Linked DNA regions of Caenorhabditis elegans. The protein of the gene in region 1 interacts with the protein of each later gene in a pairwise test. Each region holds a gene or a part of one and is shown in the gene's direction. Other genes may lie near its edges.

Region 1 (7,967 bases):
TCAAAATCGAAGAAAAAATTGGAATTTTCCAACAGAATGCAGTGGGCGGAGCCGATTCGCAACCGCCGCACACTTATTTCGCAAGCCTCGCACGCTTTTTCTCTTGAAAAGAAAACGCGCGAGGCTTGCGAAGTAAGCGTGCGGCGGTTGCGAATTCCTCCAAATTTCCGGCAAAAGTCCTGAAAAATGTAGATTAAATTCAATAATTTTTTTCAGAACAGTACGGAATTTCAGGCCTTACTTTCGGGCCTTCCGGCTTCTTCTCCTTCTTCTTCGGAGCCAAATCCTCCGCAGTCTTCGGTCCGAGCAGCTCCAAGAATCTCAAATCCACCTCCTTCTTCGTAATCGCACCATCAGCCCATGGAAGCAGAGCTCGTAGCTCGCCGAGCAACTTTCCGGCCGGGAACGAGTACCGCTCGGCGACGATTTTCTCGCGGTGTTGGCCAATCACCTTGGTAACGGCCGCTTCGATGTCGTCGATTGTGACAACAACGCCGACTCCGCATGATTTCTCGAAATCAGGCACTTGGATACCTTTAACGGTGTGCGAGAGAAGATACTCGATCGCTGCGGAGAGCTGAAATTTTTTTGAAATTTGGAAATTTAGCTGTTTTTTTTTTAATTTGAAATTTAATTTTAATTACAAACCTGTGGCTCTGTCTTAATCCCGTCATTCATAATATACTTGACAACTAGTGGAGTGTGAGCAGCGACTTGTGGCTTCAACTTTGTCGCCAACTGGTACAAAAGTGTTCCTTTTTGCTTGGAAATCTCGCCAGACTCGCTCGCAAGCTTCACAATTGAACCGATCGTTTCGGTGAGCTTCACATTTTTCAGCGTTTCAGCTACTTTTGAATCAGAGAGGCCCAAAGAGAGAAGCTCCTCCTTTGTTGCCATTTTTACCCTGGAAAATTTGTGAATTTTTTTGAATAATTTGAAGTTAGAAAGTGGAGAAGCGGAAGAAAATTCTAGAAAATAAATGTTTTTAAAGAAAGTCCAGTTTTCCGTTTTCTGAGTTTCGCGGAAAGTTGCAATCTATAGAAAAACTGAAAAAAAAGCAAATCGCTTCCTGAAACAGCCTAAAAAACCTTGAAAATACAAAATTTAGGGAGAATTTAGAAGATTTTTCGTCGAATCTCGGGAAAATCTTGAATAATTGAGTGAGAAAACAGTTTTTACAATAAGGAATTATGATAAAGTTGCAAACATCTGGAGAAATTCCAAATTTCTTGATTTTAGCCGAATAACCCTAAATTTTTCAGTTTTTTCCGAGTTTTTCGCGGGATTTGAGTTTAAATACAATATTTCTATATTTTTAATCAAATTTTTAGCCTCAAATCTGGAAAAAATAATTTTAAAAAAGCCAAAAAACCACTGGAAAACTTTTAAAATAGGCTTTTCCTTGCTAATTGCAGCTGAAAACTGCAAAAGTGTGCATTTTCGCGTGCCGGTGTTTACACACAAAACATCACAAAATGGTGTGCCACATCGGATCCACGTTCATTTTTTTCAGCGTTGTTCTTCGTGTTTTTGCATTAAAAAGTTCTGAAAATCTGGATTTTTTATTGATTTTTACTTCGAATTGTGATCTTTAATCTAATTTCTATGGATTTTATACCGAAAATGTCGAAATTACATATGAAAATTGCTAGAAACCGGCTGCAATTCTCATTTTCTGATTTTTATCTGATTTTCTTTCCAGTTTCCCCTTGATTTTTATTGCGCTCTGGCATTTTAAAAATCAATTTTCGCACATTTTCAGAGATGGCCGACGAGAACCACGTCCGTCTAAGCGAGGTTCAACTGATTCAGTCGGAATTCGGACATTCTCTCGAGGAATGCTACAAGCTTGCCGTTCAATATTATAAAAAAGGTATTTTTTGATTTAAAAATTCTTTTTAAAAAATGAGTTTTTTTCCAGAACACGTCGGGAAACAGGAGCCTGTTGGATATGAAGATCGCATTAAATTGCTCTCGTTGAGCAAACAAGTGAAAATTCCAGTTTTAAAATCAAAAATTAAATAAAAATTAAATTCCAGGTCCAACATGGAGAGATTTCCGATGAATTTGACAACGCTGGATGGCTAGATATCACTGGAAACGATGTGAAGTGGGTGATTTTCAATCAAAATTCTAACAAAAAAAAAGAAAACACTCTATTCCTTTTCCAATTTCCCCCCACACCCTCATTTCTCGAAAATGATGAACAAAATTGGAGAAAAAAAAGAAGAAGGACACACGAAGACGCAATCTCCAAAAAATTTCATTTTGTTTTTCATTTCCTATTCTATTCCAGGATAGAAATCTCGGAGAATTGGCAACTTTTCTTCTGATTTAATTAATTTTTAGCGGTTTTTCTTCAGAAATTTGATCAAAAATTGAATCGATCCGTGAATTTTGCACAGAAAAAGAGGCGGGGCGTAATTTTGCAACCCTGTGGCACCGTTTTTTAATGTCGATTTTACTAGTTTTATTCTTTTTTTATCGAATTAAAAGGTTATCCAATTAAATTCTAGTAATTAATTTAATCTGAATATCCTTATAATCTTATGAGAATTAAATTTTATAACATTTTAATTCGAAAAAAAGATAATATGACAAGTAAAATCGGCATTTTATTGAAAAAAATCAACAAAAAGTGGAAAACGAGCTCCAAAAAAGAGAGAAAACGCTGGTTTTCTGGCGAAATTCACAATTCTTCCACGCAAAACTATGTAGCTGAAAATTTCAGAAAGTTGGAAAAAAAATCCAATTTTATAATTTTTTTACAGTTTTTTTTTACAAATTCAGTTTTCTAGGCTTCTCTTCTGGCGCCCTCAAGCCATTCTCAAACTTTAAATGAATTTTCCAAAATTTTAGGCTAAAATCCTCCAATTTTAGTGCCTTCTCCTCTGAAATTAAGCAGCAAATCTGAAAAAGCTGTCAAAATAACCTATTTTATGGCAATTTTGCACCTCAAATAGAGCCGTTTTCAGCGATTTTTCGAACTTTGTTGCTCGTCAGTACAAATTCGTGTTCCTCCTCCTGCTCCACCACTCGCCGTCTTGTTTCGTCTAATCCATTTGGGACGTTTATACGTGTTTTGTGTGTCCCGGCGGCTTCTTCCTTCACTTTTGCTACTAGAAATTATTTCTCTTTGAAACCTCTGTCCGAAATATATTTTTTTTTGCTGGACGCCTTCTTTAGAACCTTTTCAAGTGTGGCCAATTATCGTAAAAGCAGGCGGTGTGCAAATTTGATTTTCGAGAGAGAAGGAATGTTCAATGTCTACCAGTTATTTTGGCTTTTTCCAAGGATTCGTTCAGTTCTTTGACGAATAACAGCCCCACGGGGTTCTGGCCTTCCTCATTGAATTTTTCGCGCTCCATTGACAATCGCTCGCCGGACTCCACACGGACAAATACATTTACATAGTTTTTCAACTAAAATCGAGCCGCGACGCGACACGCAACGCGCCGTAAATCTACCCCCGAGCCAAAATGACCTAGTTCGGCAAACTCTTCCATTTCAAGTTATGAGGGAAGCCAGAAAACCGTGGCAGCCCGAAAGGTCTTCTACTTTTGATGCTCTCGGAGCTCTGAGCCAAAAAGCCCCAAATATGGATACAAATCCATCATGAGCTCACCTCATAAGAGCCGGCTCTCCTAATACTCATCAGTCATTTTGTATTCTTTCCTAAAGAGATAGACATACATGTTTTCAAAAAAGAAAAGAAGTTTTTGTCGAGAATTCGTCACAAATTGATTTTCAGCCTCTTTTGTCGACGAAAATTTCAGCTACACCCACCAATTTGGCTCTCCTCCTCCTCCTGCTCAAGAGGAGCAACACTGAAATCTCTGGAGAATTGGGTGGCTTCTTCCTCTCCTTTCATTCCTTTTTGCCCTATTTCTCTCGTTTTTCCGTCTGTTAAAAAGTTGACGGCACATCCTTCTGTTTTGTTACTTTGTTGTTTTCGAGGCGGTTTCACAATTGTCTACGGTATTTCCTGATTACGGAACTTTTTTCTGCGTGCGGATTCTGAGTTTTTCACGGGGTTCTGGCCCAGATATGGCAGAGCCAAAATGGCCTAGCTCGGCAAACTCTTTCATTTAAATTTATGAGAGGAAGCCAGAAACCACGCGACGCCAGACTGTCCCATCACGATTTGATCTACAAAAAATGCGGAAAATTTTTTCCTCTAAAAATTGTGACGTCAGAACGATCTCAACCATGTGAAATCAGAAGAGATGTCTGCGTCTCAACTCCCGCATTTTTTGAAGATCAAATCGGAATAAGACTTTTCGGACTCCATGCGGTGCACCCGTAACGTGACTGAGATCGTGGCAAGACCCACTTATCATGTCAAATTTTCGGGAAAATGTCCTACCGTACTTACTTGAAGGAAGAACCTCTCATCAACATTCTACAACCAAAATGTAGTCCTCATTGCAAGAAGAAATACGTCATATTTCTCTGTCTATCTACATTCCAGTACTTGTGTCTGATAATCAGGAAGTGCTGATATCCATTCCGTGTTTTTCTCATGACACTTGCTTTTTTTTGAAGAGAAGTCACCTTCGCCCTCCAGCAAAATTTAAGGTTTTCCCACGAGGATATCCAGCGTTTCCTCGTGTTTCTTTAGTAGTAGTTCACTTTTTTTCTGGTTTTGTTTTCGTTGGATTGCTTTCCTTTGTGGAAAATCAAATTTTCTACCGAAATTTGTGTGGGGATTCTCTCGCTACTCTGGTCTGTTCTTCTGACTCACGTTTTCCGTTTCTTTCCATCCAAGAGACGTACAAAAGTAGTAAGAGTAAACACACAGACGAGGGGAAGAAGCTTCTTCCTCCCTTTTTTTCTATTCGCCAAAATTGAATTTGTGTGTAGCTCCGCCGTCCCGGGCGGACTTCGCCTTCTTCCTCAACCCAAAAATCTAACTTAACAAGAAGGGAAAAAGAAGTGACAAGGACGCGAGGAATGCTAATAAGATGATGGTGTTGGAAGGGATGTGGGGACGACGACTAGTTGGACAGACGACATCGGCTTCTTCTTCTTCTTCCGTTTTTTTTTGTCAGAAGATAACGTCTTCTTTGACAAGACGGCAGGGATGACAAGTTTTCAACCTTTTGTTCTTGTGCTGTTTGGAATCGCAACTAGGGCTGTGCGGCTGATGACTCGGCTGATGGAGCAAATCAACGTTTTTCAACGTAATAGCAATGATCAATTAGGGAATACTTGTATTTGCCATATCGGCTGAGTCTTGAGCTTCTAATTCTAGAAAAAAGTTTTTAAAAAAGTGCACACCCCTTCCAGAAAAACTCGTTTTTCCAATCAGCCGACAGCCGACAGCCGAGTTACTCGGCTGATTCAAAAAGCCGACTGTTTTGTCAAGGTGTGTGCACTTTTAAAAAAAACTTTTTTCTAGAATAAGAAGCTCATGACTCAGCCAATACTGCAAATACAAATATTCTTTAATTGATCAGTGCTAACACGTTGAAAAACTTGATTGTCTCCATCAGCCGAGTCATCAGCCGCACAGCTCTAATCGGAACCTACCTGACAACGGTAGAAGGTTTTGGCCACTGTCTCCTTCTTACCAGGTTCTCTGAGCCCGAGGTTAGATCTACGTAGACACGTGGTGTGAGCCTGTCTCATTGCGGTTTGATCTACAAAAAATGCGGGAATGTTTCCTCCAGGAAAGTGTGACGTCAGCACACTCTTAACCATGCGAAATCAGTTGAAAAGCCTGCGTCGAATTTTTCGAAGATTAAACCAAAATGGGACACTTTAACACCACGTGCGTAGATCTACGAAAATGGCGGGTATTTAGACGCAGACTTCTCAGCTGATTTTGCACGACTAAGAGCTTTCTGACGGCACATTTTTCTTGGCGAAAAATTCCCGCATTTTTTGTAGATCAAACCGTGATGGGACAGGCTGACACCACTTAGCTATTATGTTGCCGGGTTACTGTAGTTGACGAGAAAATGATCTACTCAACATCTTCAACTCTTCCGATATAATTGCAAGTCTATAAAAAAAAATAGATGACTATAAAAAGCGGCTATTTGTCCGAGATTTATGACTATATGTCTATCTACTCAACTGAAAGCCTTTTCTGAGTGGTCATAGATCAAAATTTGGACGAGTTGGTAATCAAATTGTGTGGTAAAACCCAACTACCCAAATGAACTTTCGGAATTCTTGTCTTTTTTTCAATTTTACAAATTAAGGGTCTCCTCCTCTTCCACCCAATTTTCAAGTGTTTTTGTAGCTTTTGAGCACTTCACTTGGCTTCTTCCTCCTCCTCAAATCCTGAAATCCTCTCTCTCTTTCTCGGCTAATCCTTTCTCTTTTTGAGCTGACTGAGAGGAAAATGAGTGAAAAATTTGCTGCTTTTCCTACCTTGAATAACACAAGAGTGTTCCTTTTCTTCCCCTTTTTTCTTCGATATCACCTATTGGCGGGGGTGTCTGATGTGCTCTTTTCTCCGGCTCTTTCCCTGTGTGCATGCACTTTTTTTTTGCGGAATAGAAGATGTAATTGATAGATTTGAGAAGGTGTTTGGTGTGTCACATGCCCCATGAGAGAGAGAGAGATGGAGTTTTCAGCACTTTTTGGTGATCTACTCCCTGCTTGGGCGCTTTTTGATTGGCTCCAATTGTTGGGCTCGGGGCGGTCTTGAAATTCTGCCCCAAAAAAGATTTCCAAAAAAACTGGAAATTCTTGCATTGGATTCGCTATTTTTCCGTTGAGAAATCTCATTTTTTGATTTGAAATCATCAGAAAGTACTGTAGGATTACTGTAGTTTTCTTGTTCACTCGCTTTCAATGCAGTGCACAGAGCAGTTTTACTACGTGGCCGTGCGAAATAGAAAAACTCGGCCACCCAAAAATCGCCAAGCTTCTTACAGTGAAAAATCAACGATTGGGCGAATTTTTGATTTTTCTAGGCCATGTTCCAAAAACCGCTCTTATGGAATTCAAGTAATATTGCAAAATGTAATTAAACACATTTATGACGTCACAACTGTACACGGTGGTGTCAGAGTGTCTCATTTCGGTTTGATCTACGTAGATCTACAAAAAATGCGGGAGAAGAGAGACGCAGAGTTCTCAACTGATTTAGCATAGTTAAGAGCGTGCTGACGTGAGTTTTTTGGGCAAAAATGTCCCGCACTTTTTGTAGATCAAACTGTAATGGGACAGCTTGGCATCACGTGCCGTGTGAAATCAATGATTGGCCGGCCGAGTTTTATGATTTTTCTAGGCCACGTACCAAAAACCGCTTTCTTAGATCTGTTGATCTAGTTTTTCCGCGATGTTTGCTCGAAATTTTCCTGCTAAAAGAGCCAAATTGCGAATCTGAGTGACCTGGCCGAGTTTTCTCTCTCCCCAACGGCCACGTATTACATACTTGGGCTCTTTCATGACGTCATTATCTCCAGTCCCGCATGATGATAAATTGAATGTTGTTCTGTGTTACATCTCGAGATTATATGACGAATGCTTGCTCTTTTTCTATCCCAATCGAAAAACAACTGAAACCTAATAGCCAAGCTTGAAGTAAAGAAGCTCAAGCGGTTATTTCTTCGTTTTTTTTCCATTCCGTTACGTATTTAATCTTAATTTTTTTTTTCTTATTTTCAGCAAAGCTTGGCGTGAGCTGGGCTCGTTGTCCCGCGACGAAGCGATGGCCTCGTTCGTCTTCCTCGTCGATCGTGTGTGTCCGCCGTTCAAGGGATTCATTGCCGATAAGAAGGCTATGTGAGTTTTGATTTTTTTTTCAGTTTTAATTTTGAATTTTTTGACCCTAAAAACGTATACTTTGATCACTTATAAAGTATATAGTCGCATTGAATAAAAAGAAAATTGTTGGCAATAAACATTTGAGTAAAAGTGAATAACAAGTAGAATTAGAACTAGGAAAACAGAAGGGATATGATGTAAAATCATTCATTTTTTTATTTTCTGATGGCATTTTTCCGACA
Region 2 (8,703 bases), on another chromosome or scaffold:
GATTTTTCAAATTTGGCTGAATTCCCTCCAAAATTAGAACTGCACGACCAATCAGCGCCCTCGGACTCCGCCCACTCAAATCGCTGATGGGTCCTGCAGTTCTCATTTTGGAGGGAATTCAAACAGGAAATTGTCGAATTTAAGTTTTTTTTTTTGGATTTTTTAAAAGCAAAATCCTCCATTTTTCAAGATTTTCGCGTTACTTGGCAACATATTCATGATCTACCAATCGATACGTGACATTCCGCGACAATATCGATCGATTATTTGTGATGCTTTCGGGTTCAGCGATTGTTTGGATAGTTTGGAAATGCAAATTCCCATAGTTGAGGTAAAAATATTATATATTATTATCCAGACTTGAAAATTTCAAATTTTTTTTGCTACAAAAATGCAGTGGCCGGGTCTCGACACGACAACCTTTTGTTAAGTTGAATGCGGAAAGAGTGTGTGCGCCTTTAAGGAGTACTGTAGTTTCAAACTTTTGTTTCTCGGGAAAACTGTAAAATCGATTGCAACAAAAGTTTGAAACTACAGTACTCCTTAAAGGCGCACACTCTATTGGCATTCAACTGACAACAAAAATTTGTCGTGGTGAGACCCGGCCAGTGCATTTTTTAGAGCAAAAATCGCCAAAATTTCGCATTTTTTGCAGTACTGTGACCTTTGCCTCCGTGTTTCCATGGAATTCATGTTCCCGGTGGGTGTGCTCATTGTGTTCTCGATCACACAGATTCTTATCACAGTATCTCCGGGAATGGCTTCTCGTATTCGGAATCCGATTCCATCACTGGCTTCGTTCATCTATATGTCATTTGTTTGTTTTTAACCTTCTGATACACCTAATCTTTTCTGAAATTTCAGTTTTTCAAGTGCATAACGAACTTGCTCACGTCTATCGCGATGCTACCCTATCTTGGATGTACCGATCAACCATCATTTTGGGGGGAGTATCTCGCTGCCGGCTTGTTGGGACTTTTCTGGATGTATTCGCTGCTTAACATGGGTGTATTCACTAGAATAACCTACCACAACTTCATTAGAGCACGAGAAAATTACGAGAGACAAGTTGTGCGGAATGGGATGGTGGTGGAACTTGAAGTTTAAATAAATAAATGTTTGGTTGGATAACGGGTAGATTAAAAATGAGCAGAACATTTGAAACACAAATACGGGGGAAAACGGGATGCGTATATATTTAATTAGACCCTGGAAGATGTTGAGCTTTGTGGAGTACCAGATGGAGTTCTGCGGCTTGAAGGGCCAACGAATCGCTGAAAAACTTGTTTTTATCATCTTCCAACCTTAAAAATAAACTTACGTTTGAGCTCACTGAAGTAGCTGCAGATGCTCTTGATTGAATTGATGATCTGGATCCAATGGAACTTCCAGCTGGCGTAGTTCTGGCCGATGTTGCTCTGCTCGAATTCGCGCTCATTGCAATCAACGGAGGACAGATGGCTGTCGAGCATACTTCCATGATGGTAGCAGCACGGCGACAATCATTGACAGTAATGGATTCACGGACCCATGCCAGGAACCTTAAAATTCAGTTACAATTATTTTTACAAATCCTGACACACTCACTTTCCTCTACATGGAGTCTCCAACTCTCTGAAATCCACAAATCCCATCGAATCACTCTCCGCCAACTGCTCATGATCGCAATTTGGCTTCAAGTACACTTGGAACAAGCGCTGAATATTTTCCTCATAGAATAAAAACTATTAAATAATTGAAGACTAACCGTATCACCAGAGACCGAGTAATTTTTACAAGTGAACGCTGGACATGGAGAACATTCGGTGATCATAATTTCACTGTCGACTCCAGCTTGTCGCTTTCCAACGAATTGAACTCCTCCGCCAATGGGGATTCCTTCCTTCAAGTTATTGGGGATTTTGAAGTAGACATTCGGATGTTTGGCACAAATGACAGTGTCTTCATTGATTCGAATTCCTTTGACTGGACCAACAACGAACTGAAAAATTCAGGGGTGAAAAGGACGAGTTTAATTTAACTTTAGAGACCTGAGTATCACGAAGCCAGTTTTCAAAAATGGACATTCCCGATGTACGAACAATGCGGTAACGGACAGATTTGTTTTCTGAAGTTCGAACAGCACGAACTTCGGCCTGAAAATTGAAAGCGTTTGTTTCAAAATAAGACCCACTCATGATTACCATAGCCTTCAAGAATTCATAACCAGCTGGATGAAACTCGAAGAATGAAAGAAGATGGTGTGGGTCATCAATCAATCCAAGAGTGCCCTCCTTGTCAACGAAGAGACCTCTGATACTGGCAGGAACGACGCGGGTAAGGAGCTGAAATAAAAATTATGTTCTGGACAAAAAAATCAATATTATAACTTACATTTCCGTTGACAGAGGTTACATGCTGTCTGAGAAGTGGAACTGGCTGAAGCTCATAGATCAGAAAACCGTTGTGCTGCATCGACCAAATAGCACTGAAATGAAAGTATTCTCCGACGGCTGGGTAGATCAAAGTCTTGTCCGTTCCTCGGGAAAATGGCTTCTGCAGTGGGATAATAAAGTCGAACTGCGAGAGTTCTTTGCAAATCAGTAGGCGTTCGCCGACATACAGGCCAAGCTGCATCTTGATGACCTGCAAAATCAAATTGTCAACGAGAATCCACAAAGCAACCTTAACCTCGGCCCATTTGTCTTCTGGCAAGTGCCAGCCTTCTCTCGGCTCGATATCAATTTCGTCGTCGCTATCAGCAGGCTTTGGATCCGGGCGCCAAACACCGAATTTAGAGTCAGGAGAGCCTGCGTTCCATGGCTGAAAGTTATTTGTTCAAAATCCCGTAAAAAATTTTTAAAAAGCAAATACCGCTTCACAGACGCGTGCTTGGTCGGATGGATCGCAACTGTCAAACGATTCGAATGTTGCAGTCATATTGAAAGGATCTAGACCACTCTTCATGGTAGTTTCGAATCGAATCCAGGCGTATAGCCAAACGTCTGGCTCCGCACGGGTCGCCTCTGTCTCTGCTGAAATAAATATATGGTTAGAGAGACGAAAATCAAGAAGAAACATACGCATGGTGACGGTGCATAATGGCGTCCAGAACGAGGTCGTTGAGGTGGGCTGGATGACGCCACCGACTTTCAAAATAAGTCCATTTCTGCTGGAAGACGCTTCATAAATTGGTTTTTCTCGTTTGATATGAAGGATTATCCTCTTATCGTGATCACAGTCCGATTCGTTCCATAGGATGACTTCACCGAACTTTAGCGGGATTTTGGATCGACGTCTAAAAATTCAAGTGTTAACAGATTAAAAATGGGCTCAAATCAAATAAATACTGACTCAAGATTTTTTGCCTCTTCGATATTATCGAAATTCCTCTCCAAGTTTGTTGGAACAAATGCGCACTTGGAGACACCGTACATGATGTTCTTCGGGGCCGCTTTTCCCTGAAAACGAGCTTATTATTTTAAATATGAAAACGGAGGGAATTCACGTACATGAGCTTGAATGAGATAAACGAGGTCCGTCTCCGAATCTTGGTTATCTTGTCCAGTGGAGGAAATGACGATACCTTGATAGTCAAAATATTTGGATTGGCGTTCTGACATTTTTGTCTGAAAATTGGATTTTTTGCAACAAAAAAATGATGAGCGAAACGAAAAAAAAGAAAAATCTGTAAAAAACGTAGGATTCGAAACAAATTTCCCACGAGAAATCAGATGCGCGGCGCAGTGGTCTCACCACGAAGAGCTACCGTACCTTAAAGGCACATTGGTGTTCAATGGCGGAAAAAAAAGTTTCGAATTTTTCCGTTTATTTTTCCATTAAAATTCTGTTTTAAAACTTATTTTTTCTGATTTTTCAGCGAAAAAATGGCAGATATTAGTATCCGCTCGACAAATTCCAATATATCTCGAGGAGCACGTCCGGAATCAGGCCGCCTGCACCGAAAATACCCGTATCGCTGGCTTTTCGATCAAGTTCATGTCAAAGTAATCGATTTTTTCCGTCTAAAAGCTAAATTTTAATTTTCAGAGCCTGATATTCCATGTGGAAGTGGGAATGCTCGCCATTGCCATCATCGGGCTCTACAGGGCCAGTCAAATGAGTGTCGACGAGCATTTCGAGCCGCCATCCGTTCCCGGCTTCGATGGACTTCAGTGGAACGGCGAAACGTTTCGAAACTTCAATGGAGTGCTGATCCGCCCGAATTATGTGCCGGCTCGGAATTTAATCAATATTTTCTCGTATTTTCTGATTTTTAGGTAGGGTTTCAGGGGATATTTTAGACTTTTTCCATCGATTTTCTTCAGCATCGCAACCGGATTCTTGGGAATGAGGCTCTCCGAGACGAGCATCACACGTCGAAACTTTCCCCGGAAAGTCAACCCGGCTCTTCTACTCATTCCATCCGCAATTTCTGTGGTATTTTGCTAAAAAAAATCGATATTTTCCCTTGAAAATCCTAAATATTTTCAGATTTCCATCTTGTACCCGCTCTCCGTGTGGACGCTGCGGACTCTTTACTCAATAATAAAGCTTTTAATCAAGGAGAATCTGAAATTTTCGATTTTGTTAGGTAGAATTTTTAATTTTTAATTTTTAAATGTGGACTACACCCTGTGGGGAAATTGCTTTAAAACACGCCTATGGTACCACAATGACCAAATATCACGTTAAAAAACTTCAAAAAAAATTTATAAATTTTATATGATTTTTTGAAAATTGAAAAAATCTGAAAAAGTTTTTGCCTAATTCCTATTTGAATTACCGCCAATTGAACTCGTTCGTTGGAGCGCGCTTGCATTATTTTTTTTATTAATTTATTCTATTTTTCTTCTATTTTTTCATTCCGTGATTATTTTCACTCGGGAATCGCTCGCCCACTATGGGGGAGTCTACGCAAGGACAACGCAAGGACAAGGACAACATTTTAATGGAATGGAAACGATTGCCCGACTGCACCAATTCTAGTTCAAGCGAACAATGATAACTTTTGTATTCTGTATTCCTTCACGTCTCCCAGCGAGCGTAATAAATTATTATTATTATTATTATTATTATTATTATTATTATGTCACTGATTTTCTTCATTAGTTGTGTATTTTTATCGGAAAGAGAAGTAAAAAAGCAAGATTAATGCAGAATGTTTGCTAAAAAGTGTTTAAAAATGTGAAAAATACGTAAAACTGTAAAATAATGAGTTCCGACGACAACAAACCTGAAACTAGCATATTTTTCAGTTTTACGCATTTTCAGTGATTTTTTAATCGGAAATTTGCATTTATTTTAACTTTTTCTCTAAAATTCAAGCAAAAATACACCGAAAACATTGAAAATCGGTGGAAAATAACAATAAATAAAATAAATAAATTTAAAAACGTGCAAGCGCGCTCCATCGAACAAATCCAATTGGCGGTAATTCAAATAGGAATTAGGCAAAAACTGAGATTTTTTCGATTTTCAAAAAATCATATAAAATCTAGAAAAATTTTTTGAATTTTTTAATCATGATATTTGGTCATTGTGGTACCATAGGCATGTTTGAAAGCCATTTCCCAACAAGGGTGTAGTCCACCTTTAAAGATTTTTAATTTTTAATCTGAAAAATCTTGATTTCTTCACTCCAGACGCCTGCCGATTGTCGTTTCTTCCCATCATCCTAGTGTGGGCAGTCTATATTTATTTTCTCTACGGATTCTGGCTAGGCGTGCTATATTACCAGCGACGAGGCGATCAGCCATCTCCGACTACCAATAATAGTGGGTTTTTCGAGGAATTTCAGGCCGAAAAATGAGAATTTTAGGCCCTTTTCGACGTCCAATCCGCAAGCAAACTGCTCTTCGATTCCAGGGAAAAGGTTAAAAAAAATTTTTTTTTTTGCTTTTTCGTATTTCTATATGCACTTTAATAGCGGAAATCATCAATTTAGCGTTTATTCCATTTTTTCAGCCAGCGTCAATTTGTTCTCGGATCTCACGGCTGTCACCAACGAGCTGGGCTCTCCCTCCTCACCATCGTCGAATTGGTAAATTATTCTGTGTTTTGGAGACGGAAATCATTGGAAAAAATATTATTTATCTGCAAAAATCCGAGATTTTCCTCAATTTCGCTATTTTTCAGGGTTGAAATCGCAAGAATTTCGGAAATTTGACTTGGAAATTCCCTAAAAACCTCTTTTTGCTACGTTTTTCGTGTAAAATTCACTGAAATTCTGTTTTTTTTAAGTTTTTTCTCTGAAAATCGTTAATTTTAGCCGAAAAATTATTGTTTAAACTCCGCAAAAAATCCGAGGTTCTCCTCAATTTCTATATATTTCGTGTAGAAATTGCGAAAATTCTGATTTTTCCTTAAAAAATTTCTGAATTTTTTCCATTTTTAGTATAAAATTCACTGGAAATCCAGTTTTTTGCCTTTTTCCCTTCTAAAACCGGTGTTTTCTCTTAAAAATCATTGACCAGATAAGATTTTTGCACAAATTAGGCATTTGCACGATTTTTCAGAAAATTTCCATTCGCAAAAAAAATTTTAAAAAATTTTTTAAACCTTTAAAACCGCTTATCCTCATTTTTCTGTAAAAAAATTGCAAAAAAATTGTTTTGATGTTTTAAACTTGAAAAAACCGTTTTTCGCCATTTTCTGCCCAAAAATAGCAAAAAAAAATTTTTTTTTTGATTTTTCAACCCTAAAAACAGCTTTTCCGCATTTTTCTGTCAAAAAAAATTGTAAATTTTTATTATTTTTTACCCAAAAAAACACCGTTTTCGCCATTTTCTGCCCAAAAATAGCAAAAAAAAATTTTTTTTCGATTTTTAAAAATTTATGCTCTCAAATTTCTCTCATTTCCTCCACCAATCCTTTCAATTTTTCAGCGTAATATCCACTGCAACCACCTCAATTCCCTCCACCAGCACCAGCAGCACCACCACTCCAAAACACAATCGATCAGTATCGCCACGTGGATTCCGTCATCTGGAGACCGTGGACGAGGAAGCGCAAAGCCGTACATCATCAAGTGATTAATATAATATAATAGAAAAGGCAATTAAAACCGATTACCAGATTCCGCAAATCTTCATCATCATCATAATTTTACAAAATTGTTTTCTAATAAACTTCACATTTCTCTCTCTATTCTCTCCATGTATATCGGCGGTCTATCGTCACTTTTATCGGTAAATGTACTTTTATTTTCTTTTTTTTTTTCGTGAATTTCGCAAAAAAAGCAGCATCGCACAGAAAAAGAGGCGGAGCGTAAATTCGCAACCCTGCGGCACGGTTTTTTGTTGATTTTTTGAATTTGCAAAAATCGCAAGTAATATCAAAAACCGTTCCGCGGTGTTGCGAAACTACGGTCCGCCTTTTTTCTGTGCGGCGCGGTTTCTAATCCCCGCCAGGCTGTCCCATTATGGTTTGATCTACAAAAAATGCGGGAATTTTTTGTCCAAAAATGTGTGGCGCCATGCGAAATCAGTTGAGACCTCTGCGTCTCTTCTCCCGCATTTTTTGTAGATCTACGTAGATCAAGCCGAAATGAGAGACACTGACACCACGTGTGCTTTTTGATTCGTGAATTTCGCAAAAAATCAGCATCGCACAGAAAAAGAGGCGGAGTTTGCAACCCTGCGGCACGGTCGGTTTATTGTTGATTTTTTGAATTTGCAAAAATCGCAAGTAATATCAAGACTATTGAAAAAGATCAACAAAAAACCGTGCCGCGGTGTTGCGAAATAACACTCCGCCTTTTTTCTGTGCGGCGCGGGTTTTAATCCCCGCACGTGGTGCCAGGCTGTCCTATTATGGTTTGATCTACAAAAAATGCGGGAATTTTTTTTTAATGTGACGTCAGCAAACTCTGCATCTCTTCTCCCGCATTTTTTGTAGATCAAACCGAAATGGGACTCTCTGACACCACGTGATACCCCAATTTTGAGAATTTTGCTCCAAAACAACTCGGGTCTCACCACGAATAATTTTTATTATTTTTTGTCGTGTCGAGACCACGAAATTTTCCGCTTATTTATAATATTTTTCTGTTTTAGCGAACTTCACAAATGTATCAGCCATGCCGGAGCACCAGCTCACGTGGCAGAAGCTCGGAGGAGGTGAACGACACGTTTCATCAGGTCTACGTGCCACTTTTGAAAATTACTATGGTAAAAATTACTATTTTGCGGTATTTTGGGTCTCGTAGCGAAACAATTATTTGATTTTTGGGAATATTTCACCATTTTGTGTGGCTTTTTGAATACGAGGCGCAAGTGCGCTCCACTGCCAAAAACGTTTTCCACAAATTGTTCGTAGTTGTTAATGATTTTTATGTCGATAAAATGTTAAGCATAAAAATTGAATTTTTTTAAACCTAAAATTTTTGAAATTTGCCGAAATTAATTGAAAACTTGAAAAAAAAAGTTTTTTTTTTGAGAAAAAAAAATTTCAGATAATTTAAAAAATACAAGAATTCGTAAAATTTTATTTTTACGGATTGAAAAACTTTTGAAAAGCTTTTAAAAAGTAACTTGAAATATTTTTAAATCAATTTTTTTGCTGAAAAAACTGAATTTTTTTTGCGAAAAAATCGAAAAACAGAAAAATGTTCTAAAAAGGTACTGTAGTAGTACTGCAGGGGTACTGTGGGAGTACTGTAGGATTACTGTAGTTTGGGAAAAATTACGTGTTTGTTTTTTGAAGGTATATTGGGTTGTATAT
Region 3 (6,190 bases), on another chromosome or scaffold:
TTTCGACGGTTTACTTGCGAATAGAGAGTTAAAACTTGGGTAAACGTTTCATACATTTCTGAACAACAACATAGCAATTTCATAATTGTTTAGAAAAATGAAATTTTTTGAATTTTTTGCTTGGAGTTGATCAAGAAATTTTGAGCAAAAATGAAAAAAATAAAAATTTCCAAAAAGTGCGGACAATGATTCTAGGTTCCCGAATAAGAGTAAAATCACTTTAAAAATACGCAAAAATGTTTGAATGAGTTGTTTTACAACTTTATTCAACTTACAAAAATATTTCAAAAAAAAAAGGAATCGAACCAAAGCTTAAATCTTATCAGACGCGCGCACTCCCAACTCGGCCACCGAGGACATTTTTCAACTCAATGTGGTGGGTGTCACATTTTCGGTGGTCACGCAAGCTGAGATTTGCGTGGATTGCATGGTAAGACAGTGGATTTCAATGGTGTTTTTAACTGAAATTTCAAAACGTCATAACTTTGCTGAAACTTGACCGGGGCAGCTAAATTTTTTGGAGAGATCATAACTAACACTCTTCTGTAGGAATTTCAGCATGAGAACTCCAAATCTACGGACCCCCTCAAAGACTTCCCTTGTAAGGGTAAAATAGTTGTTTAAAAAAAATTTAAAATAGAAGGAAGTGATTTACACACGTGTAGATTTTGTTCTGCTCTCGACATGTTTACCGCATATTTCCTTGGTTTGTTTTTAGTTAACTAATAGTCTAGGTTAGAAATAACATATAGCAATGATTATATCGCAAAAAATACACAATGGACCTTTAGGGTTGAAAGAGAAACCAAAAACAAAATTAATTCTCAAGAAAAATAAAAATACTTAGAACGGGATCCTGGTTTATTGAAGAACCAATATTGACAACTAATTTATTTGAGATTAAATTTTCTTTTTGATTAGGAATCAAAGTGAAGTGGATGTTAAAACATCAAACGATTTTTGAACAATTTGAACCACCACTAATAATTTCGATTAAAATTTTAGAACTTTAAGTACTTTCAGAGTTTCCAAACTGGTACCATCTGCAATTCAAATTGGACAATGATATTCCAACCACTGTCCTATATATTCTTGTTCATATCTTCAGCGATTAACCCAATTCTATATGCATGTTTATCAAAACGGTTTAGGAATGCACTATCTGATGTAATACACTGCAGGTTAGTTTATAAAATATTCCACAGAAATACTACATATATTCTTATTTCGTATTGAGACTAATAAAATACAGAATTAAAAATCAGTTAGATAAGGTTTCAAGACAATCTTTTGCTCTTTGTACATCACTATAGTATAGATTCTGCATTTAAATTTATTTCTGGATGAGACGATTTTCACAGTCGTGTGCTGTGTGCGTTGTGCTTTGCGTCGTTTTGTCATAAGATCACAGAGTACAAAATTAGTTCGCAAACTCGAATCTAATACTTTGATATTTGTGTACTTATTTTAGGAAAACTTACTAGTGAACAAATGGACTATCTATATTTTTTTCAGGAAAGGAGTGTTCTCAAGGATATCTCGCTCCCGAAACAGGACGCTTGTCAGCGATGTTCCACCAGAAGATTCTCGATGTCCAAGTCCTGCTCCAATCAGAATGCACAGGATTCGTTGATTTAAAAAAAAATCGTTGCTGTAAATACTTGTTTATGTACATCGAATTATAGCTCAATTGTTCACTGCAACTTTTTCCTCACGAGGGACGAGGAAAAGTGGTTTCTAGGCCATGGCCGAGGGGCCGACAAGTTTCAGCGGCCATTTATCTTGCTTTATTTTCCGCCTGTTTTCTTTTGTTTTTCACAGCTTTTTCCCGTTTTTTCTTATTAAAACTGATAAATAAATATTTTTTGCAGATGCTAAAACAATTTCCAAGTAAAAAATAATGCTATCAGTCGGCAAGTAGCGGTGAAAGTGGGCAATGTAATTTGATGGATTACGGGAATAAAAAACCCAAACTTTTTCTGAAACATGGTATATATTCTGCTTAGAGGCTGAAACTACCCGATTTTTATAACGAGACCGCTGAAAAAGTTTTGAGATTTTCAAAACTCGACATTTTGTGCGAAAATCTCGACTTTTTCACCAAAAAAGTTGAATTTTGAAAACCTCAAAACTTTTTCAGCGGTCTCGTTATAAAAATCAGGTACTTTCAGCATCTAAGCAGCATATGTATCATGTTTGGGAAAACGATTGGGTTTTGTATTCCCGTAATCCATCATATTACGTTGCCCACTTTCACCGCTACTTGCCGACTGATAACATAATTTTTTTACTTGGAAATTGTTTTAGCATCTGCAAAAAATATTTATTTATCAGTTTTAATAAGAAAAAACGGCAAAAGGCTGTGAAAAACGAAAGAACACAGGCGGAAAACAAAGCAAGATAAATGGCCGCTGAAACTTGTCGGCTCCTCGGCCATGGCCTAGAAACCATTTTTCCTCGTCCCTCGTGAGGAAAAAGTTGCAGTGTTGTTCCGGAAGTTGAATTATTTTTTACGGGTTCCTTCGAGTATAAATGAACTTTTCTTTTCATAAATTGTCCAAGTTGTTCTAACATAGAATACATAGTGAAATGCGGAAATAAATGCCAGTAATCTAAGAAAATGCGGGACTGGCGGAGAAAATAAAGAAGTCAGCTTTCTCCGGTAAACCGATAATTGGGAAAAGTTTGTTTAGGAAGGATGTTTTAGAGTATTTCTACTTATAGGGTTTTTCAAACACTTGTACTACATGAAAGGTCTCGAAAAATTAAAGAGTTCTAAAATATACAATTCTTATATCATAAATTAATGCCCCGTGAAAATCTTGTTGGTTAGAAAACACACGTGCCATCATTCCAACAAAAATGAATTAATTTCAAAAAGTATCAATACATTTTATTTGCTGAAACAGCAGACGCTAATTACTTCATGATTCATCAACAACTACCAGTGAGTCGTATTGGTTGGGACGATCAAAAGATTATGAGAACAAGACAGGAATTGAATTCGGTTTGACATTTATCATTAGAAAAATGAACAATTATATTTAGGTGAAAATCATCATGAAGGAGAACGTGCAAAAAATTATGGAGAGACAGGGAAAACTTGACGATCTCGTTGAAAGAGCTCGTAAGTTTCATAAACTGGGAGTTTTGGTTTCAAAAAAATTAATTTATTAGAAGTAAAAAATTAAGATTTAATTTCAGAAAAACTCGAGGAAGCTTCAGATGTTTACGTCAAGTGTGCTGTCAAGGTATTTAAAAATTGAAATAAACAACAAGTTAATTTAAATTTTTAGATCAAGCGTGAGATGAGCTGGAAAGCCAATGCTATTCGTAATGGTATCATCGCCGTATCAAGTGTGTCTGCTTTTGCCGGAATCGCATACGCATTTCTCTGAATGTTCAATTTCATATATCAATATGATTTATTGATTTAACAGCCTCTATGTATTGAATAAAGTTTTGAATTTAGAAAAAAAACATTTTTGTTTGTTAAAGTTTTCTTTCAGATTTTCCAAAATTGCGAACAAAATATTTTAAGTTGTTTGCCACTATTGTGAATACTAACTTCTAAATTTGTTTTCTTCCTTGTAATTTTCCAGAACCTTTTCAGAAAAACATCACTTTCTGATCCAACCAAATCATTAATCCACTTGACAACTCAACGATGTTTATTTTTTGTCCCAAGACATTCCATGTTTTCCATCATTTCATCGTGTGACCCATTCATTCATCAACCCTGAATTCAAATGCAAATTCTGCTGAATCACTGATCAATTGTCTATAAAAAAAAGTAGAAATAGCTGGAACCTCGATCGAATCTATTTCTTTTTCCCACGTCACAGTTAGTTGAATAGTCGCTGTTTGTTCAATTGATACTATCGTCAATTTATCATCTACTGAACCCTTTGAATACCTGTTATGAAATCATTGTTCACTGAATATCAAGAAGCTATCAATTTATTCGATATGATTGGTGAATCCACTTTACTGTCTATGAAACTGCTATTCTAAGTAAACTGTATCTCCTCGATTTTCAGTAACATTTAGCGAATGAAAGTTAAGATAAATTTCTTTGAATTCTTTTAAAAATTTGGTGCAGATACTATTAGACTAAAAAGTTTTTGAAATAATTAAGGAATGTGTCAATATTGTAAAACATATTTGTTTGTTATATGGCTACGGGAAATCTGTTGCCGGTTTTTCGGTGGTGCGGTATTTTTCTAATAATATTTACTACAATTTTAGGCTCTGTGAAAGAACTGAAAACCTTTTTTATCTGAAACATCTAGAACGTGGAATAAAAACTCCAAAAAAAATGAATTTACAAAAAGCTATCGCACAATTAAATCGTGGACCATGTCGTCAAGATGCGGATTAATAAGCCGAACGGTAGACGTAGACAGAAGCCGTAATCTCTCTCATATTTATATAGTCTCCTTACTCACTGTGAACAGATGGCGCTCGTCCGTATCCTCCCGGGATGACCTAGTACTACTTTGGTTCAACGCGCAGACATAATGACCTTGCATTTCCTTTTTCCCGTTCGTTAAATTATATTTATGAAATAACTCTACTCTCGTTGTGTTATCATTCTTTGATATATCACATCGAATGTGTGTTATTGTTTTTGTGATAATGTTTTTGTGTCAGAGTAACCTTTCAAATTAAATTTCAAAATTATTTAAAATACTGTAATTCCTGCATTCAAATAAAACTTCATTCCTATTAAAAATCTGCAACATTCGCCAACTCAATTTTATTTCTAAAACACGTTTCTGGATTAGTTTCTCGGTATTCACGCTATAAAACATAATTAGGTCACTGGAACCAATTATGACTAATTTCAAGTGGTTGTTCACTTTCAAAAGTCAAATAATTACTGAAGGTGTTCCAATGTTGTTCAAGAAGTCACAGTCATAATTAGAAAAATTTGATTGTGGTCAAAACAAAACTACTTAATGGTATTAATAGTAAATGACCAAAATCAAATAGCTATTCATTCACTCGACGCAATTTTTTGGCATTTCATCATAAGCACGGCAAGTCATAAAACGAATAGTAAGTTATTGAATAAAACAGAATAAACTAGTTAGGATACCGGGCAGTCACGTAATCGTTTTGTTGATTTTATTATTCAAAATACACAGCGAAAATGAACGACACGATGAGCTGAAGCTGTTCAGTTGAGTGGGAGATAGGGAAAGATAATTCATTAAAGCAACCAGTTAATACATTTTCAAAATAATAAGTATGTCATATGACTTTTATTCGTCAATGTTCCAACATTTATTTTCAAAAAAAACTGTTTTGGATAATTGAGGAATGCTTAATCTTGTTGACCATCAAAAAGACCAAAAATAATGTTTACTGTTTTTAAATTGAAAAACATCTTTGGAAATCATACTTATTTTTCTTTAAAGTTTTTAACTTTAGATAATTCAAGAACAAACTCAACTATAATTTTTGCAGTTTGCTTCTTTAAATTGGATTTTTAGGGAAGCTTTATGACATTTTTTCATCTATTTATATCGGAGATGGTTATAACAATTTTAATAAAAGTTTCATCTTCCCAATCAGGATAAATAGTTAGCGTAACTGTTTGTCAAACGATAAGTTTGCAGTAAATAAATAGGAAGGATATTTTATCATCTTCACAAAATTCTGAATGTATCCAATACATTGATGTCAAACCCTAACACTCTTTGACGTCATGGTTGCCGTAGTTTTGCAATTTGCTACATTTGTCTGGTCACTCACTCAATTGGCCTCCCTTCGACAGTTTCTAGCTGCTTTCGAAACAGTGCATCCGCGCGGAAACGCAGTCATGTCCGCAGACTTTCGCTATTCAAAATTGATGAAGGAGACAAGATCCGACATCTTTTCTCTGTCTCTACGCCTTTATTGATTCCCGGGGACAATGTTCTGTCAATTTTTCGACCATATTCTATTCCATAAAGAAAGAACCAGTATTCGGTTCGAAAATTGGGACCTGAATTTGTGTAACTTTTCGCTTCTTATGGAAACGAAAGGCACACCTCTTCCATCCTTTCTGAAACCAATTGAATTTCACTTTTCGTGTTCTCTTTCAAACTCTCAATCTCAAGGTTTTATTTATTGGCTTTTGTATAATCGAGATTTTATTTGGAAATTGTCAGTTACAGTCATTGCCAAAACATTGAAAAGATAC
Region 4 (8,094 bases), on another chromosome or scaffold:
TTGCTTCTCTTAGGCTTCCACTTCCAAAATGGATCAATTCGTGTTTGTCTCCTTGCAAAGGAAAAGGGGACTCCCTTTGAGAAGAGACAGCAAATGATCTCATTTTGTTTCGAAATACTTTGCTCCGTTTTCTCGAATATTCATTTTTTGCGTTATTGACAAAAAATTATTTTTCATTTGTCAATTAAATAAACAAAAAAACTTGAAATTCACAAGAGAATGCCTAAAATATCCTAAAGTTCCAAGAAATATTTTCCAAAATTTGTCGCTTTTCGTATTTTTAGCGTAAAATTGTTCTACATTTTCATACTCAAAAAATATTGAAACGCTCTAATTTTCAGCCAAAAATTGACATTTTTTAAATTTTGGCAATTTACCGCAATTATGGGTTAAAAATTTTATAATAATTTCCAGGCGTTTGATCATGTTTTTCTAGTCAAAATCCCCACTGGAGCTGCTCCTGCTTAATCATAAATCTCATGATTTTTCAAAAATCCTAGCATTTCAAAAATCATGCACTTTTTCAGTAAATTTCAAAATAATACTTTTCGCGTCTAGATTCTTCCGGGCAGTTCCCTCAGGTGACTCTCCCTTCCTTCAATATGTTATCAGTTAACTTTCCGTCTTTTGACGGTCAGCTGACCTATGAGTGATAAAAAAATGGTGAGCACACACAGACAAGATGACCGGAGCATCAACCCACGTGTCCCAGTACTTGGCGAGATTTCAAGGAAATTTAAAGAAAATGTCTGAAAAGCGGATAAAAAACTGTAAATTCAACTGTAGAGGTATGCAGTTTTAATTAAGCCTGGTGTGTAGGCACATAGTTGCCTGCCTGGTTGCTCCGTGCCTGCCTTGTGTCTACTACAAAATACACATTTTCCGGTCTATAGGCAGGCACGTAGGCAGGTAGCCATGAAAAAAAACTATGTTTATCATATCCTCATTTTTCAAAAGCTCAACATTTTTTGAAGTTTTGGCAATAAATTGTTTGTTGCAAAAAAAATTTAACATCGCGGTATTTGACGCTTGGTTAAAACCTGAACCAGGTCCAGAGTCTCGACCAACTATTGCCAACTTTTGAACGAAGTCAATAAATTTTTTTAAATTCTGGACAAGAAGCTAGCGAAGAAATATTTATTAAATATATTAAATAATTTTTCAACCCACACAAATTTACTTTAACAGGCTCAGGGTTTTCTGTGTTCCTTTTCTTTTCATATCTTTTCTGGCAAAAGGAATCATGTGGCATTTTTGAAACTATTATAGTAAAGTTCAATATTTCATTAAACTCTAAATTTCTATTTCCATCAATCTCACCAATTTCTCCTTTCCATGAAAAAGTCACCAACGCATTTTGGGAAGAAAAAAAGATTAATCCGAAATGAATTGAAAAAGGAACAAAACTTTCACTTAACCAACGAACAAATACCACATGGTTTCTTTTCACTTTTTTCTTATCAAATGAAATCATACAGTCTCAATATGATCCACCCATAACCACACAAACCAGCAGAAAAGTGCGGCAGTGGAAAAAAAACGTTCGGAGTGAATGTTTCCCCCGGTCACGAGGTGGCGATTCAACTGGGCAGCAGCCTGCGTCTCTTGTGTCTCTAATTCTCAATCTAGCCAAGTTCATACTGCCATGTCATCCTGAGAGATGGAAAAGAAGACGAAGAATTTCTATTCTGAATTTGTATGTGTGTGTAAGCGTGTGAATACGTTAAATAGAATGGCAGGTAATTATCTCTCCTGCTCCGCTTGCTCCGTTGGCTACTCTGGGTGTGCCTATGATATTGCTTTTGTAGGTTACCCGTAGTTAATGTAGTCCATTTTAAATTTGTTTCCCTGTTGCTAAATCTATCTACCATTTCGCACTATTTTTTTTCTTCTTCTTCTTCTGTTTCTCTTTTTTGACTAGTTTTGGCTTATACGTTGCTCTAACATGTTTGAGAAGTTTTGCACATTAAAAAAATAAGATTTCAAAAATTTTTGGAAAATTTTTGAGAAGTTTCAGCGTAATTTCAGAGTTAAAATTCAGATAAATTTTGAGCGATTTTTTTAATAAAAAATTAATAAATTATTTAGAAACGTTTTTTTTTGTTTTGAGACATTTCTTGTGCAATTTGTGTTCAATTTTTGAGCACTATAAAAAATAATTTTCCATATTTACGGTGCAATTCTAACAATGCTGAGTTCCCAATTTTTCCTGACGTTCTCCAACTTTTCTGACATGCCGTCAACTCTTTCATGAATTCCAAATATGAATGTTCCGTTTTGTTACTTCAAACTAAGTTTATACTGACAACTTCCTTTTTTTGGAAATGATTCATTTAGACTTGATATAATTAATTACCTGCCATTAGGTTTCTATCTTCTTTTCTATTGGCAGAATTATCTATCTTCTCTCGATCTTTTTTTTTATTTTGTTTTTTGTTTCATTTTCATTTTTTTTTCTCAAAATTTCATTTCACAACTTTCTCAAGTTACTCGATCAACTTCTTTCTTCTTTTCCAAAACTTTTTTCTGACAAAAAACTCTGAAACCCAACCCTCTCCCCCAATCCACGTCATCAAAACTCTCTGACCTACCTGTCAATGTGATTTACGATTAACAACAGATGCCCCTCTTACATCTGAACAGCCGACACAGCACGTGCTTTAAATGTTCTAGCTGTCTGCGTATCTAATATAAACTGGCATTTTTGTATGTTATAGATTGACAATTGACTGTAACTGGGGGAATGGAAACAGTTGGAAGTTTTCAAAATAGAGGTTATGGAAATAAAAACAATTTTGTTTGTTTGCTTACGTCACTCACCACACTCTTTCCATGAACATATGAGTTGATATCAATTGATAACATGGAAAAACGAGACAAATTGCATATTGCTATATTTATTTTCGCTTTTTCAGATGTCAGACTTTCTAAATTTTCAATATTGTTACTACTAGTACTGCTTCTTTTTTTGTGAGCTTATATCTTGGCTCATTTTTTTAAAAAGAGAAACGTCAGTAGGAGAATTGTTCAAAATATCTTCTATAGTGCAATTACCACTAAAAATTGCAAGATTTATTTACAATCAAGATGTGCCAATTTTAAATTTTCGCGGCTCATAAATTTGAAAGTCATTTTTTAAATCAACCAGAAAATGGTTTTTTATAACGGGTTTCAACATAAACGATTGTTTTGGATTATGTGAATTTGAAAAAAAATTTAATAAATTTGTAATGTTAAAAATATATTGTTGTTTTGGCAGTTTCAGAATTTTAATTGAATTTAAATTTGAATGTCAGAAAAAATTCAAAAATAAGTCAGTTATTGGAACTTTTTTTCAAAAAATATTTCCTTTGCCAATAAGCACTATAAAATCAGCAGTGAATTCGAAAAAAATTAAGTGGCTGTTAAATAAGTCAATATGCGTTTGAACAAATGACGTAGAAATTTGAGATCGACTTTTTCTTATTCACATTCGTGCTTCTCTGCGTGTTTTCCAAAACACGGTCGCTCTGTTTTGATTTCAACATAATATTTAAACAGGTGAACAGACCGCCATGCAAGATTTATCGGTCAATAAAAGGAAGCTGAAAAAACTAATTTCGAAACCTTCGAGAACAGAAAAAAAAACTGTTTCTCTTTCATGGGCAGGCATTTCATGAGATTTTTAAGTGCTTTCCTTTAAATAATTTTGAAGCCACCATGATTTTGAGCTTATCACTGACACCCCCATCTTTCCCCTATTGTCATTTGAAACGTATGACTTGGATCTCTGTTTGAGCTGAAAAAGAGATGAATGAGATGAAAGAGAAGAAGACAGAGGGCAACAACAAAAAGAAAAACAAAATAGCACAAAAGAGCGAGATGATCGAAAACCCCGAGAGAAAGCAAAAATGCTCATCACCTGCGGTGAGACGGCAGCTGTCCCCGCAGAAATATCATGTACCTGTGCGGAGACGCAGGGTATACAATCACATGGTGAACTCCTCGGGGTCCCTTCATCTCGTGTCAGCACATTTTTGTGAGCTCCAAAAAATTTTGTCACGAAAAACACCACTTCATGGATGCTGAAAACGAAATGAACGCTGAAAATGTCGATGTGGAACTTTTCTTTCGAAAACCACCGGAGATCACAAATTTTGAGTTGGTTAAGACAATTTGGATTGACCCGAAAGGTGAGTGTTTTTTCATATTTTTTTTAAATTTAGTTTGTAAAAATGCAGTTTGAAAAAAAAAAATTGAAAAAGCTTGATTTCTAATAGATTGTATCTCTTGCTAGTTTTTTTTGTGAATTTTGAAAATTTTGAAGTTCATAAGAAAAAGCATTATATAACTTTTTTAACTTAAAATTTCTGAAAAAAAACTTTAATAAATGTTCCACGTATCCAAGTAGGCACATATCCGATATCTACCTCTGAAATTTTTGTTTTTGATTTTTTCAGTTTATTTCTAGACATCCCGCAAAAATGATTCAAAAAATAGTTTTTAGGCATTAAAAAAGATAAAAAAAAATTTAAAAAGATAAAAAGGTAAAAAAGTCGACAAAATTATGTGGAAATTGTTTGGATTCCGATATATTTCGGAAAAAAATCTGAAAATCAAATTCGAAAACCCATATTAAAATATCGGAAAAGAGCTTTTGGAGCATTTATAGGTCTCAAAAATAAAGCAAAAAAACACTGAAATAATTAAAAATCAAAATTTAAAAGGTCGAGATTAATGCTTTGTCAAGGTCTTTCACTTAGAAAAAATAATATTCTTAAATTTCCTTGGAAAATCTTTTTGTCATTTCAGAGGAGACAAATTCCACAAACGAGCCAACATCTGAGCATGAGCCAAAATCCCTCCAGCCACTTGCTCTTCAACCCCTTCAAACTCCTGAGTCAGAGTCCGGTGGGTCCTCTTGTTCTCATTCGGAAGTTGAACAACTTCCTGACGATATTCTCAATGAACCTCTTGATGATGAAGTTTTTGAAGAAGAAGAAGAAAATGTGCAAACTGATTTACTGTTCCGTCAGCCAAAGAATTCAGAAATGGAATTAGCTTACACCATTTCAAAAAGTGCCGAAATCAACCTGGATGAATTGGAATTTGAGGATGAGGAAGTCGAAGTGGATCTTTTGTTCCGTGAGCCAACTGATCGTCGATTTGAATTGGTTTATACAATTCCAATGATGGAAGATGTGAGTATTGATTCTCAGGAAACCATTACTTTTGAGGACATTCCACCATCTGAAGAACTAGATAACGTTGTGGAAGAAGTTACAGATGTTGCTGAACTTACTGAATTTACATTTAAACCAGTTGAAAAAGATGAACAGACTGAAACTGAGTCATTCACTACAGTCCTAGAAGCGAATGCTGGAGAAGGTGCAAGAGACTTTATCGAAAGAGTTAAGTTGACTTCCAATGACACTTTGGATGATTTGGATGATGATCCTGAGGAAGAAACTTTCCAAAATTCGTTTGTAAAATCTGTGGACTCTAAGACGCCAACTCCAACAGGAGACAATTATGAAATTGAGGATTCCTCTGTATCTGATGTTCTCAAAGATGCAGCCGAAAAATTGCAAATAATTCGAAATTATTCTGCGGACTTGGAATCCGAAAAAGATACAATTAATACGGATGTTCAGCATGTCTTCATTGGTCTTGAGGATGAAGGTGGTGTTATACCAATAATCCAAGAAACACAAGAATATGTTGCAGAAATTGGACCTACTCAAGATAATCAAGAGTATGATTCTACTTCTAAAAGTGATTTGGAACCTCAAAGCTCTGCTGATGGGGTTGTGGAAACTTCGACTTTCGAAGCCCCAGCAGTCTTCGGATTGGAAGATTCTGAAGATATTATAAATAAGCATGCACTGGAAACAGCATCAAATCAAGAATTCTCGAAAATTAAAGAGCCTGAAGTGACTGAAGTTTCTGAAAATACCGCAGAAAATTTGAACGAAGAAGTTGGAGAATCTAAGAATCCGGAAGCAATCGATCTTGTAGAATCTGGAGAGAACGCAGGCATCGAGCAAAATGCAGGAGCTGAACAATCTCAAAAAGAAGCGGTTGAGGAAACTTCAAGTTTTAAAGCCCCAGCAGTCATTGGGTTGGAAGAATCTCGAGATATTTTGAAAGATCCTTTACTTGAAACTGCACCAGATCAAGAAAACTTCAATAATAAAGAATCTGAAATGACTGAAATTGCTGAAATTACAACCCCAATTAGACTTGAATCGTCTGGAGACAACTTCATTGGTACCGATCCAGAAAAGGGCACAGAACAAATTAAAGGTTCTGAGAGCTCCGAATTAGTAACCCAAGAAGTCATTGGGTTGGAAGAATCTGGAGATATTTTGAAAGAACCAGCATTGGAAACTGTAACAAACCAAGAACTTTCTGAAAATAAAGTTTCTGAAGTGACCGAAATTGCTGAAAATATAACCCCAATCGGACTTGAATGTTCGGGAGACAATTTTATTGGTACGGATCCAGAACAGCAGCCAGAGCCCATCAAAGGGATTGAAAGTTCAGAATTGGATGTCATTGGGTTGGAGGATTCTGGAGATGAAGTGAAACAATCACAGTTGAAATCTTCAGAAGATCAAGAATTTTCTGAACTTAAAGAACACGATGCATCTGGAAATGTTGATGAAACTGGTGAGAGCGCAGATATCAAACAGGATGATGTAACGGAAATTGTTCAAAGAGAAACGATTGGGCTTGAGGATTCTGGTCTTGCAGAGATTGTCGCTGCTCATGAGAAAAATTTGACATCTTCTGATATTGACAGTTCTGTGATTCCGGAAGATGCGGAAAATGCATCTCCAGAGGCGATTGGCCTTGAATCTTCTGGAGACAACTTTATCGGTACGGATCTAGAACATGAAGAAGGTCAGATTGACAATTGTGAGAGTTATGTATTGGAAACAGCAGCTGTCATCGGTTTGGAGGATTCTGGAGAGAACTTGAAAGATTCTGTACAGGAAGATCCACCGGAGAAAGAATTCTCTGAAAATAAAGAATCTGAAGTTACTGGGGATGTTGAAAATACAACTGCAATCGGACTTGAATCTTCAGGAGAACACTTCATCGGTCTGGAACAAGGACAGCAAGCAGCTTCCATTGAAGCAAATGAGAATTCTGAAATGGAAGCTCCAGCAGTTATCGGTTTGGAAGATTCTGGAGATAATTTGAATAGGCCTGCATTGGAAACTGCATCAGATCAGGAAAGTTCTGAAAATAAAGAACCTGATGCATCTGAAAATGTTGAAGAAACTGAGCCAGTTTCATCTGCAAAGGTAATTGCGCTGGAATCATCTGGTGATTGTGAAGAAGGAAATATCAAAATATCTGCTAATGAAAATAGCGTGGAACCTGATGGGGCTGACAAACCAGCACATACAGAACAAGAAATTCCCACAATAATTTTGCCGTCTGAAACTACAGTCACTCAGCTAGAAGATCATCTTTCTGAAACTGAAGAGAAGCAAAACGAAGTAGAAAGCTCAATTAAATCAGAAAAAAATGTGATTGGACTTGAGGATTCCGGAGATACTTTCCGGGATACGAGTGGCCTTGCTCCTGCTGAAGACAATGAAGCTGAAGCGACCATAACTACAGATTTTGTTCCACTGGAATCTGCGGGAGATATTCCTTCTGAGAACGAGATCAAGGAAGTAGCATCTGCTCCTGATGTTGTTGGTCTTGAAGAATACATCATTGGAAACATCCCAAACGCTCCAGTTGTTAATGATGATATTCCCAACGTTTTTACTCCGGAGGTAGCCAATGATGAAACAGTGGAAACTTTTAGTGTTACAGCAGAAGAAGCTTCTATTCCTGTTGTTGTGGAACTTGAACCGATAGGTGACGAGTACGAATTTCAGAGACCTGTAGAAAACTTCTCGGAACCATCAGATAACATAAATCTTGAGGAGAGTGGAGCCGAGCAGGTCTTGTTAGAAAATAATATGTTTACGCCACTTGATGAACTTGAACCTCAACAGAAAATCTTAAACGAAAAAGCGGAGCATATTGAAATAGAAGCTTCTGGTGATGAGTTCATCAAAGATCACCCATTTCCTGTTGAAAATGAACAGA

Evidence for each region.
Region 2: the proteins of Y41E3.7 (region 1) and Y65B4BL.4 interact in a two-hybrid assay, tested with the Caenorhabditis elegans proteins (one large-scale study listed by BioGRID).
Region 3: the proteins of Y41E3.7 (region 1) and snb-6 interact in a two-hybrid assay, tested with the Caenorhabditis elegans proteins (one large-scale study listed by BioGRID).
Region 4: the proteins of Y41E3.7 (region 1) and ret-1 interact in a two-hybrid assay, tested with the Caenorhabditis elegans proteins (one large-scale study listed by BioGRID).

The regions. Positions count from the first base shown.
Region 1 is NC_003282.8:15,012,280-15,020,246, forward strand, and holds the start of Y41E3.7 (Golgi resident protein GCP60), read left to right. Parts: upstream 1-1,755; 5' UTR 1,756-1,764; coding exon 1,765-1,873; intron 1,874-1,921; coding exon 1,922-1,989; intron 1,990-2,039; coding exon 2,040-2,110; intron 2,111-2,975; coding exon of another isoform or gene 2,976-3,057; exon of another isoform or gene 3,058-3,217; intron 3,218-7,626; coding exon 7,627-7,743; intron 7,744-7,967. Other genes in the region: qars-1 (putative glutamine--tRNA ligase), read right to left, coding at 242-577, 649-897.
Region 2 is NC_003279.8:501,376-510,078, reverse strand, and holds Y65B4BL.4 (Dolichyl-phosphate-mannose--protein mannosyltransferase), read left to right. Parts: upstream 1-3,828; 5' UTR 3,829-3,866; coding exon 3,867-3,986; intron 3,987-4,029; coding exon 4,030-4,259; intron 4,260-4,307; coding exon 4,308-4,419; intron 4,420-4,473; coding exon 4,474-4,573; intron 4,574-5,624; coding exon 5,625-5,756; intron 5,757-5,800; coding exon 5,801-5,854; intron 5,855-5,946; coding exon 5,947-6,022; intron 6,023-6,866; coding exon 6,867-7,017; 3' UTR 7,018-7,188; downstream 7,189-8,703. Other genes in the region: Y65B4BL.7 (uncharacterized protein), read left to right, coding at 191-331, 656-817, 865-1,107; P-granule-associated protein deps-1, read right to left, coding at 1,203-1,274, 1,322-1,541, 1,588-1,697, 1,748-1,981, 2,031-2,135, 2,184-2,324, 2,374-2,625, 2,671-2,802 and 4 more; Y65B4BL.3 (uncharacterized protein), read left to right, coding at 8,049-8,150.
Region 3 is NC_003280.10:8,856,356-8,862,545, reverse strand, and holds snb-6 (V-SNARE coiled-coil homology domain-containing protein), read left to right. Parts: upstream 1-2,849; 5' UTR 2,850-2,926; coding exon 2,927-3,007; intron 3,008-3,048; coding exon 3,049-3,127; intron 3,128-3,204; coding exon 3,205-3,251; intron 3,252-3,296; coding exon 3,297-3,398; 3' UTR 3,399-3,480; downstream 3,481-6,190. Other genes in the region: npr-20 (Thyrotropin-releasing hormone receptor), read left to right, coding at 1,024-1,181, 1,516-1,633.
Region 4 is NC_003283.11:14,843,294-14,851,387, reverse strand, and holds the start of ret-1 (Reticulon-like protein), read left to right. Parts: upstream 1-4,075; coding exon 4,076-4,172; intron 4,173-4,791; coding exon 4,792-8,094.